3 linked regions of the Danio rerio genome follow. The protein of the gene in region 3 purifies or fractionates together with the protein of the main gene of each other region. This does not show direct contact. Links are inferred from orthologs where the notes say so. Each region holds a gene or a part of one and is shown on either strand. Other genes may lie near its edges.

What was found.
Region 1: the proteins of akirin2 (region 3) and psma5 purify together in Homo sapiens (affinity purification with mass spectrometry; 3 studies listed by BioGRID and IntAct, with this or other methods). This does not show direct contact. The link is inferred for Danio rerio from reciprocal best matches to the Homo sapiens genes AKIRIN2 and PSMA5.
Region 2: the proteins of akirin2 (region 3) and ipo9 purify together in Homo sapiens (affinity purification with mass spectrometry; 3 studies listed by BioGRID and IntAct, counting the BioPlex papers as one, with this or other methods). This does not show direct contact. The link is inferred for Danio rerio from reciprocal best matches to the Homo sapiens genes AKIRIN2 and IPO9.

Annotation. Positions count from the first base shown.
Region 1 is NC_133186.1:38,737,454-38,741,111, forward strand, and holds the end of psma5 (proteasome subunit alpha type-5), read right to left. Parts: intron 3,212-3,658; coding exon 3,109-3,211; intron 960-3,108; coding exon 873-959; intron 773-872; coding exon 695-772; 3' UTR 423-694; downstream 1-422. UniProt on the Homo sapiens protein: Component of the 20S core proteasome complex involved in the proteolytic degradation of most intracellular proteins. This complex plays numerous essential roles within the cell by associating with different regulatory particles.
Region 2 is NC_133186.1:26,936,925-26,940,582, reverse strand, and holds part of ipo9 (importin-9), read right to left. Parts: coding exon 3,614-3,658; intron 3,450-3,613; coding exon 3,351-3,449; intron 3,262-3,350; coding exon 3,155-3,261; intron 905-3,154; coding exon 765-904; intron 672-764; coding exon of another isoform or gene 669-671; coding exon 509-668; intron 1-508. UniProt on the Homo sapiens protein: Nuclear transport receptor that mediates nuclear import of proteins, such as histones, proteasome and actin. Serves as receptor for nuclear localization signals (NLS) in cargo substrates.
Region 3 is NC_133195.1:2,814,119-2,817,876, forward strand, and holds the start of akirin2 (akirin-2), read right to left. Parts: upstream 2,219-3,758; 5' UTR 1,915-2,218; coding exon 1,737-1,914; exon of another isoform or gene 1,341-1,736; intron 1-1,340. UniProt on the Homo sapiens protein: Molecular adapter that acts as a bridge between a variety of multiprotein complexes, and which is involved in embryonic development, immunity, myogenesis and brain development.

The sequences.
Region 1 (3,658 bases), on a different chromosome or scaffold from region 3:
TTGAATAAAAATATCGCGGTTTCACAGTATTGAGATCACTGCTATACACCAGATGCTTTATAAATGTCTGGGTAAAAACAAGAACTTTTTCCCCTTTGAACACAGGATATTTTATTTTAAGAAATATTTCAAATGAATCATTGACTTCTGCGGCCTTCATTAGTTTAAAATGGCATCTTTGGATATCTTTTCTGTTAAAGATACTGCCGTCCTAAAAAAAACTGAAAACAAAATGTAAAAACTTTGGCAGAATATTTTGGCAAGTTTAAAACCTTGACTTTTCCAAACCGCGGTATACCTTGAAAATGGTTATCGACACATAACAAGTGACATTACATATATATCTTTATAATTAAATTAGCTTTTATTTTTATCAGCCTATAAGTGAGATACTCAGAGGAAAAAGAATTATTGAAACACCATTTTCAACAACAGTTTATTAACGCAGTGATTGGTAACAAAAAGAACCCCCCAGTTATTTCAATGACAATATCTGCTGTCCTGTGCTTGTACAGAACTATAGAAATTTTGGGACTGACAGAAGGAAAAAGAAAAGTATAAAGATTCGATTCCCGTCTGAACAGGCAAACCCTACAATGCAGTCAGAGTATTATGTATCCATTCTGCTGTGTGATGATTCACACAAAAATTACACTGGACTTTTCATATTGAACATCTGTTATGCTTAGCACGTTTAGATATCCTTGATGACATCCTCCAGCTCTTCTTTTGTGTACATGTGAAAGGTTTTGCCCGGCTCTACTGTGGCAAGCTGCAGGGAAAGAGAAGAAAACAGTCATGACTTAGAAATATGTTTAAATTAAATTATATTTCATATGACCAACACCATGTGATCGCTTGAGCATTGTTACCTCAATATTGGTGGCATTGAGTTTCTCCTCCATCACTTGTTTCAGGATAGTGAGAGAAGACTTAATGGCATCCTTTAACGTCATAGACTGGAAAAGACAAAGACGTTTGTTTAGCGGGAGGAAAAAGCAACATCCATAGTGTAACTTGTGGAATTTTGCTTGGAAGCAATTAGATTTATGAAGAAGCCTTTTGGACAGTGCGTCCTGCTTATTAGATTTTAGGGTCACATGGGCAAGGTTACACTAGTAGAGGCATGACATACTGGAATGGGGAGATGGGTGGGGTGGATTTAAAAAAAGGACTCTTATTTTCTGAGCACAGGGCTCCAATTTGATCTGTAGGGTTCTCTCGGGAGAAACACTTTGCTCTGTGAAAATACCATCCGGAAATAACCTAGCTGTGACATTGGGGATCTGATGGATTTCATTTAATATGCATATGTTTGATATGCAGTACAGAAACAAACACAAACTAATATAAAATATATAAGCTAGAAGTGGGGCCAGGGAAAATGTGGATATTGTTTGCTATTATATTTTTCTGCTATTATTAAATAAAAAATTGTGGACTTGGGCAGAAAAACTTTGAGAGTATAGTAACTAAAAGCTCAACACATTAAATAATACAAAATACTTTTAACTTTAATTTAAACGTTGTAATACAGATACAACTAGAACAACTAGTTTGGTAGACAAAGTACAACTTAAATTGTACATAAATCATACAAATTTGCATATTATATAATAATATTACTGTAATTAATATAAAAACTAAATTTTGTAGTAGGGCATTATAGTGACAGTTGGTAGCACGATCGCCTCACAGCAAGAAGGTCGCTGGTTCGAGCCCCGGTTGGGTCAGTTGGCATCTATGTGTGGAGTTTGCATGTTTCTCCCCGTGTTCACGTGAGTTTCCTCCGGGTGCTCCGGTTTTCCCCACATGCGCTATAGGTGAATTAGGTAAGCTAAATTGCCTGTAGTGTATGTGTGTGAATGAGTGTTTATGGGTGTTTCCAAGCAATGGGTTGCGGCTGGAATGACAGTATGACAGATTGCTGGCCACGATGACAGTAGATAATATTTCACTAGATATTTATCAAGACACTTCTTATTAGCTTAAAGTGACATTTAAAGGCTTAATTAGGTTAATTAGGTTAACTAGGCATGTTAGGGTAAGTAGGCGAGTTATTGTATACCAATGGTTTGTTCTGTAGACTAAAGAAATTGCTTAAAAGGGCTAATAATATATGTATATGAGCAATATTACATGAGTAGCAGTGCGATATGGCTGTATATCAGCACTGGTGGGGGCACTAATGCACTCGCCCTGCGGCCTCGTGTCATCGCACGTCTTCCACCAGTGCCGATATACAGACATATCGCACTACTACGAGTGTGATATTGCGTTTATACAACAGTTTGACGGCATAATTGTGTATATAAAAACAAAATCAAACACGGAGAGTTTCAAAAACACTTTTGTATGTGGAACTACTTTCTTCCACATTTGATTAAAATCATAAGCTGACAGTTAAACAGTTGAGCAAGCATCTTTTAAACTTTAGATCTGTAGTGTCTGCTTTTTGCTGGCTGTATGTGGGCGGAGTAATACACAAAGGGTAAAGAGGCTGTAGGAGTTCTGATATTGCAGAATATCGCACGGCTATCAGCCAATCAGATTTGAGAACCAGAACAACATTACATTTATACAACAGTTTTGTCTGTCAGATCTGTCTGGTTCTCAAATCTGATTGGCTGATAGCCGTGCGATATCCTGCAATATCAGAACTCCTACAGCCTCTATACCCTTTGTGTATTACTCCGCCCACATACAACCAGCAAAAAGCAGGCACTAGAGATCTAAATTTTAAAAGATGCACGCTCAACTGTTTAACTGTCAGCTTATGATTAGAATCCGGGAAAAAAAGTAGTTCCTCATGCAAAAGGGTTTTTTAGACTATCCATGTTTGATTTTGTTTTTATATACACAATAATGCCGTCAAACTGTTGTATAAACGCAATATCACACTCGTAGCAGTGCGATATAGCTGTATATCGGCACTGCCGATATACAGCCATATCGCACTGCTACGAGTGTGATATTGCTCATATATATATATATATATAAAAAATAAAAAAAATAAAAAATGTGGGAGTATATAGCCAAAATGAGATCAAAAATTGATGATGACCTGCAGATAAAAGACCAAGATGTTTATAAGCAGTTGGTATTTACCTTGTGGTAAACCTCTTGAAGAGAGCTCTGAGCGCCTTCAGATGCTGAGCCGATTGCTCTCGCGTCACACTGGACAAAAGTGCCTGAAGGATCCATGTGGTATCTGTGTATATAAAAAGGTTGGTGTGATTTATAAACACTTCACAATGTAATCAAGTCTTTATGAATAAATAAAATATATATGAACAAAATCACCAGGTTAGCTGTTCCTTTATATATAATATATATATATATATATATATAATATATATATATATATATATATATATATATATATATATATGTTTCACACATTACATTAAGGGCGTTTTCAAACTTGTGCAAATGAACTTTCCAAAAAATGGATTTCGATCTGTATTTATGCAGGTCACATGCAACTGGTGTAATTGTTTTGTGTAATTATTTTTTGATGCATCTCAATAGTGATGTGAATGATTAGATGCTTAAAAACTATTTTTATATATATTTTAATATAAATAAACTTTGCTATATAAAATAAATAAATAAATAAAATATTGTATGAATCAATATTTATCTTACATATGAAAAC
Region 2 (3,658 bases), on a different chromosome or scaffold from region 3:
AAATACTTTAGACTTATTTGAATAAAATCCTTTTAATCATCATAATTTTTAAAGAAAATATTTTAATATGTTGATATGGTGCTCGAATTTCTTTTTTTCCATTAATGCAATGAAAACAGTTCTTAGTGCTTGCTTACATTGACTGAAAATTATATTAATAAAAAGTGTTTGTTATGTAAAAGAGAAATATTATGTGTAATAATTTTCATTTAGAAACAGCCATACTAAAGTATTTTAGAAATAATAATTATTGCCAAAAACCTTTGAATAGCATTGCAAATTAATACTTAAGGCAGTATTTAACAATAATAACAACAATATATACAAATACAATAATAATAAGTTGGTTATTTGGTTTAATCCACATATTAACATTTTTGTGTGTGCATTCATTGCGACATTCAGTGCTAAAACTATTTATTGTGCATTAGTAGAATATAAACAAAGAGGTGCAAATAAAACCACAGTTTCTGCAAACTATTAAATGAAGTGGAAACAGAAGTCTCACCCCCAGATAGCTCTGACGGCAGAGATGCGAACAGAGGGTGGCTGGCTTTCGTGTAACCCGCTCACGGTGGCCTGCAGGAACTGCTGAATGAGCTCTGGAGACATCGCTGCAGTGAATCGACTGGCTGCCCATAAGGCCCGACCCAGCAGGAACGGAGAGGCTGCTGGAAATCAAATAACACATGGATGAGATCCGGTCTTTGTTCTTGGGTGGTTTAAAGTTGTACGATCAAAAGGAATATGTTAAAGGAGGCTACCAGGTAAATTGAGGTCCGCGAGGATGACATTGGCAAGAAATCCATGCATATCGAACTGCACACGACCATTCTTTACATTCTCTGTGATGATGGTTTTGACTGATCCCAGCGCCAGCATGCAAGCTTCATGCACCTTCCACCTGCATAACAGCGGAGAGACACTGATGTGAAGCAAAACAATAAAAGAACAAGTTTGCTTGTGATAGAATGTAAGATGTGTTTATTTTACTACAGGGTTCCCGCTCGTTCATGAACACATTCAAGACTATTAAAGCACCATTATTTTCAAATGAAGCACCTTTTTAATTGCCCCCAGCATGTGTAGCGCTATGAAAATCTTTATTGTATTTAAAGTTAAATTAAATACTGGTAATACTACTATTATCCATATATTTATATGACATATGTTTGTTTTTAAATACTTTCTAACCCTGGAATAAAGATTTCTAAAAATTTAAGCTATTTTACTTTCAATAATTGTGGGAACCCTTTAACTATGACGGGACACATATTTCATGTTTTCATCTGTTTCATAAGTAATTGATTCAATTCACTCACAAATTCAATTCACTTCTATAGATTGAATACAGTACAAACTGGCTTTTATATTGAGTTAGCACTAAATATCAATTTTCTTTTATAAATGTAGCATGGGCAATGTGATTTCATTCAATATATATATTTTTTTAAAAATCATCACAGTATTTCCTATTTTTCTTTGCTTCTGGAGAAAATCTAACTTCTTTTAGTTTTGCTTAAATAACCGCAGTTTAAAAATATATATTATTAGACCCTACAAGAAATAAATTTTTTAGATTGCCTACAGAATAAACCACTGTTGTCCAAAAATTAACCAGCATAACTAACCAAACTTGCTGAATACTAGATCTTACTATAAGAACCGTGTAAATATTATGTATAATGTGTGATGTCATGTGACTAACGAAAAACATGAGTGTCATTACTTAAAAAACCCGTTCCAGGGAGTGGCTAGAGGAGCAAGGGGGTAAGTGAGGGAGCTCTTATTTGTTTGTTGATAGAATCATATAATTCATCCTTTTTGTTTTGTCTTAACATTTGTTAAATTTGCAATAAAGGAAATAAACAAGATGCACATGCAAGATGATTGACGAGTCACTAGTATTGCCATCTGCAAAAGCTTTATCTTTGGGTCAACCGCTACACTTACTATATCTAATAACGCATCTAAAAATAGTCTTTATGGCAAAGACAAAAATTTAGTTATTACTAATTAGTTACTAAAACTATTCTGCTTAAAATAATCTTCTTTTTATTAAAAATCAGTTTGTAAATAATTAAAAAAGGAAATGAAACCAGGGTTTCTGCAGGTTTTACAAAGTCCAATTTAAGACTCTTTAAGACAGTTATAAATGAAATTTCAGACCAACACAGGGCTAAACACTAAAGATTTATCCAATAGCCCTAAAGTTTACTTGCCTCATTCCAAAACAATTCATTCATTCATTAATTTTCTTTTCGGCTTATACCCTTTATTCATCAGGGGTCGCCACAGCAGAATAAACCACTAACTTATCAAGCATATGTTTTACGCAGCAGATGTCTTTCCAGCTGCAACCCATCACTAAAAAACATCCATACACTCTCATTCAAACACATACACTACAGCCAATTTAGCCAATTCAATTCACCTGTACTGCATGCCTTTGGACTGTAGGGGAACACCCAGAGGAAACTCACGTGAACACAGGGAGGACATGCAAACTCAGAAATGCCAACTGACCAAGCCAAGGCTCGAACCAGCGACCTTCTTGCTGTGAGGCTATCGTGCTACTCACTGTGCCACCATGATGCCCCAATCATGATGATTTCTTGGCCGCATATTTTAAATAATGTGTAAAAACAAGCAAACCATAGTTGTATACAAGAACAATTTTAAAACAATTTCTTCTTCTAAAAAAAAACATTGGTAAAGAGAGTTTGGTTAAAAGTTTTTTTTTGAGACAGATTGTTGGTGATTGGAGAAAGGGACATATGCAAACTAAGACTTGTTTAAGACCTTTAAAACAATATTTCAGTAAATTTAAGACCTTTTAAGGCCTAAAATTTAGCTTTTGAAATGTATTTTTAAGTCTCCACAGAAACCCTGTTCACACAAGGGCTAATAATTTTGCCGTCAATTATATACACAGTGTATGTTGCATATATACACAAAAATACAGAGATAAAGGCTGACTAAACAATTACACAAATCGCAGTAAGCAATCTAATCAGCACACTCTTTGATATAAATTCATGTCTATTCCAATTAAAACACACCGGTGCTCTTTAGGATTCCATATTAACTCATCAAATTGAGAATGTATTAAAATAGAGCCACTGATATTTTTGAAAGCAGCATTTGTGTTTACCAGTGCTCACTGCCAGTGTTCTTGGCTTGCTCTGCCTCCTGAAGGTGTCGTGTTGCGGCTGCCGCTAAAGCTGCAGCACTCTCGTTCTGAAATTCAGCAGCAACAGCCTGATAGACAGAAGCAAGCATTAGAGATGAAGAAAAAAAAAAAAAGGAGAACATTCAAACATCCACAAACAAACTCCCAACGCTCTCACCAGCAACAGATCCTGTGCTGATATCCGAACCGAATAGGAGAACGTGTCATCATCCTCATCCTCGACAAACTGCTGTGGGTTGGCCGTCCACACCTTGATCTGTGAGATGGATTTGAATGTGAAGATAAAAGCTATATATATATATATATATATATATATATATATATATATATATATATATATATATATATATATATATATATATATATATATATTTACACACGTGTATAAAAAGACAACACACACTGACACCTCCCACAAACCTGATCCTCCGTGATCTGCATGTAAAGGATGATGTAATAGATGAG
Region 3 (3,758 bases):
TCACAGGGCAGACAGAACCCCACCCATCATGCGAATTTGCGTCTGTTACGAAGTGAATGTTACGCGCGAATGAATCGAGTAAACTTGAAATGTTCACGCGTCTATGTACATACAAATAGCGTGGTTTACCCGCGCTCGCCGCATCTTGTGTGAACACAGCATAAAGCCTGATTTACACTTCTGCGTCAAGTGACCGGCGTAACCCACGGCGCATGCAACGCGCGTGGCTGTGCATTCATACTTCTGCGCGCTGTCTCTGTTGGTCTGCATTAACACTTCTGAAACGCTAGTGGGCAGTGAGGTGTAAATGTTCCTCTGTGTCGAGTTTCTTCGCTGCTGTTTTGCTTTTCCTGAACACTTCCTGGATGTACAAGTGACTCAAACTCGCTCATTTTGAGGCAGCAACTGGCGGACGTGCAGCAACTTTAACTATGAGGTAAACACAAAACAAAACTTTCCATCCGGAGCTCCTTCACGGGACTCCACACTTGTAAACAATCGCTACATTGGGTTCGCGCCATTCGCGCAGCTCTCGGTCCCGCCCCGACTCGTCAGCGCTACCAAGCCGACCAATCACAGAGCTTGCGCTACGCATTGTTGCATCATGTAGTTACATTTTTTGAGAGGTGCACGTCAGTGACGGCGATGGCCACGGCGAAGGGCTATGCATCAGCGCCGTAGCATACGCCGGCGTTTGACGCATAAGTATAAATCAGCCTTAACACTTGCTGAAAAAGTCAGATTTTCCATAATCAATTTAAATTCAGTTTACTTAATATAGTACATCACCCCTGCACTCAACTCATCAGGGGTAATGTTTTAATACAAATCTGTTAAAGAGACAGACAATAAATGAAAACCATGTCAGCGATTTCTCTTTATTCACTTTGTTAAAAACCTATTTGCTTCTTTCTTCTGTTGACCACAAAGGAGATATTCTGAAGGGTTCAGGAAAAACAGCCATTGACTCACATAGTATTGTTTGTTCCAACTATGAATGTCAATGGCTGTTGTTTTCCAACATTCATAAGAAATGTTGTTCTCACTTTGTGTACAACAGAAGAGAATCAATTCAGATGCACTCGAGCGTGAGTAAATAAGGAAATGTTGACGTTTGAGTGAACTGTCCCTTTAAATTCTGTGCAGATCATTTTTAACTAGAAAAAATCTCCTAATCAACACGAGTATAGAGTATGTGATGATATAAAGAATCTTGAGTTCACGGCAGGACTCTCTTAAATGATTTATATAGATAAAAATCTACTTTCCCAAAGAGGAAATGAACGGAGTTTACTTCCGGAAGCGACTGTCTGACTAATGTGCTTCACAAAAACCCGAACATTCACACTGATAACCACATAGAGATAGGGTAAAACTGCAGGAGGAGCAGCCTTATATCTCATCCACACACACTTACGAGTTTATCAATATACTCCTCTAATGTAACACTATCAGCAGGCGAGCCGAAAACACTAGCAACGACTCGAAGTCTACGGAAATGTCCGCTAATAACAAATAGCAGAATTCCTGAAACAGCCTAATAATCACTTCAGTTTGATGACGGATGATTGATTGACTGTGTGTCGCCAGAGAAGGAAACTGGCTCCTGTGTTTGGATGTGTAATATAGCGTTAGCTGCTCTGCTAACAGCGGAAAAACTACACCTCCATGCTCGGTTTTCAGTCGGTTTTCCAGCCTCTTTCCGGTCGACGGGTGTGTGTGAGCAGCGGACTGACCTGTGGTGAGTGCTGAAGACACCCTGCCGAAGGGCGAGGGCTCCATGCGCAGGTATTTCTGCGGGGAGGCGCTGGAGCTGGACGGCGACATGGGCGCACATCTCCTCCTCTTCGGGGACGCGGGGTTCATCAGCGGATCGAAGTCCATAGTCCTTTTAAGAGTGGCTCCGCAAGCCATTTTACCGAGAACTGGTGTTTGACAGCAAATAAAGCGAAGAGAAATATTCCGCCGAGCAGCGAGAGCCCCCGCTAGGCACAGTCCTACCCCGATCTCAAGGGAGCGCGTCCCGATCACTGCGTTTTTATTCAAACTCCGCGACGACCTTCAGGCCAAAACCGTGGCTGAGCGGGGATAAACGCGTTTTTGCGGCGAGAGATGCGGACGTGGAGATGATTCTGCACGACGAAGCCCCGATGATGGCGGATTCAGATCAGGATCGAGACGGAGCCCCTCCTGCGAGAGCTAGCCGGCTAACAAATATGGCGTGGAAACAAAACATTTGGCGAAGCCGCTGCTTTGCGCCTGCGCGGAGACTTTCAGGGAAAGTCGGTAGTTGTAGTTTATGCGGGATTCCTCCTCGTCCACAATTCTGTTTAACGCGGTAAGCTAAAACTACAACCCCCACAACACTTGTTCGCAATTCTCTCCGTGTGAAGCCGCCCATTGGTGGTTTTGGATTGTTTGTGGATTTGAAAAAAGCCCCTCAAATCTCCTCCCATCATCAACAGCTCTGACCGTTTCCTCAGTCCTCACAACACGATGCCATTTTATAAACTTTATTTCTTATGAAAACGACAAAATTATCGTTGATTAAAGCCAATCTGTTCATGTACACACGCTGAGTTACTTTACATTGTATTATAACGTTAGTGCATTTCAAAACGACACAACTTTACTACAGTTTGATATGTTTTCATCAATATTTATTTATAAGAGCACCTAGGGTGAAAAATCTACTTTTCAAGCTGTTTGAACTGTCATATTGTTGGGATATAAACACACCCAGTCATTTTTTTCAATTTATCAACTTAAAAACGGTGGACCAATTGGAGCGTTTTTTAGATTGACAGCAACTTAACGTAGGAGTTCGGTCCCCCCGCCCACCAACATTGATTGACAGGCGCACATTACCATATCCACAGTTTGTTGTTTCACGTCTGCTACTTTCAGCGTATGAGTCAAAGCGATGCCACCAAAGGAATACCCTGCTCTGTTTTTAGATGTAAGGCTCATTGGGCTCAACACAAGATCAACATTCACCACATGATCGCTCATCGGCGCCATTGTTTCTAACTTTAGGTGGGTTTGTGTACTTTTCATTGCGTCTATCTTAAACTTCAGCCGTTTGCATTTCCTGCGGTCACAGGAACTCCCTGTCATCTTAACTAGGTGGAAATCGTGAGTGCATTGCCTCAAGTGCGCGTCTCCGTATTGGAAATAATGACCTTGCCTGTAGGTCGCACACCAGAAGCGCTGCTCGGCGACCCGCAGGTTAATTTTAAATAACATGCGAATGTGCGTGTCTGGTGTGCCTTGTCACGGCTCTAAACGGCACATCCAGTGCCTCAGTTAAAGTTAATTCAGCGTGCGTTGTTGTTAGTCTCGGTGTACAAGCTCGGAACTGTAAACTAGCACACGGTTAGCTGCAAAACTATACAAAGACACAAATTCTTTTGTATTCTCTGCTTGGTCTGTGTCCCAGTCGTACATGTACCGCTGAATGCTGGTCCTCACACTCATGTTCCTTCTCTCTGTCTGCCTGTCTGTTGCCAAACACAAAGCAGGGGAGCTATTGGCTCCGCCCCCTTGTTAAGTTGGGCGGGAAGTCGAAACTAAAGCTACGGTCACACTAGAGTTTGTGCGTGCGAAATTCTGTCGTGAGGGGCTGCGAAAAGGGGCAGAATTAAACAAGATGATTTGATATTTTTAAAAGCGAGCGATTGCTCCATGTTTAAAATTTTTGTCCAGAGAGGTCATGTTTTGCTCCTCGATTGGTCACGCAGTCAAGTGATGCGATTTCG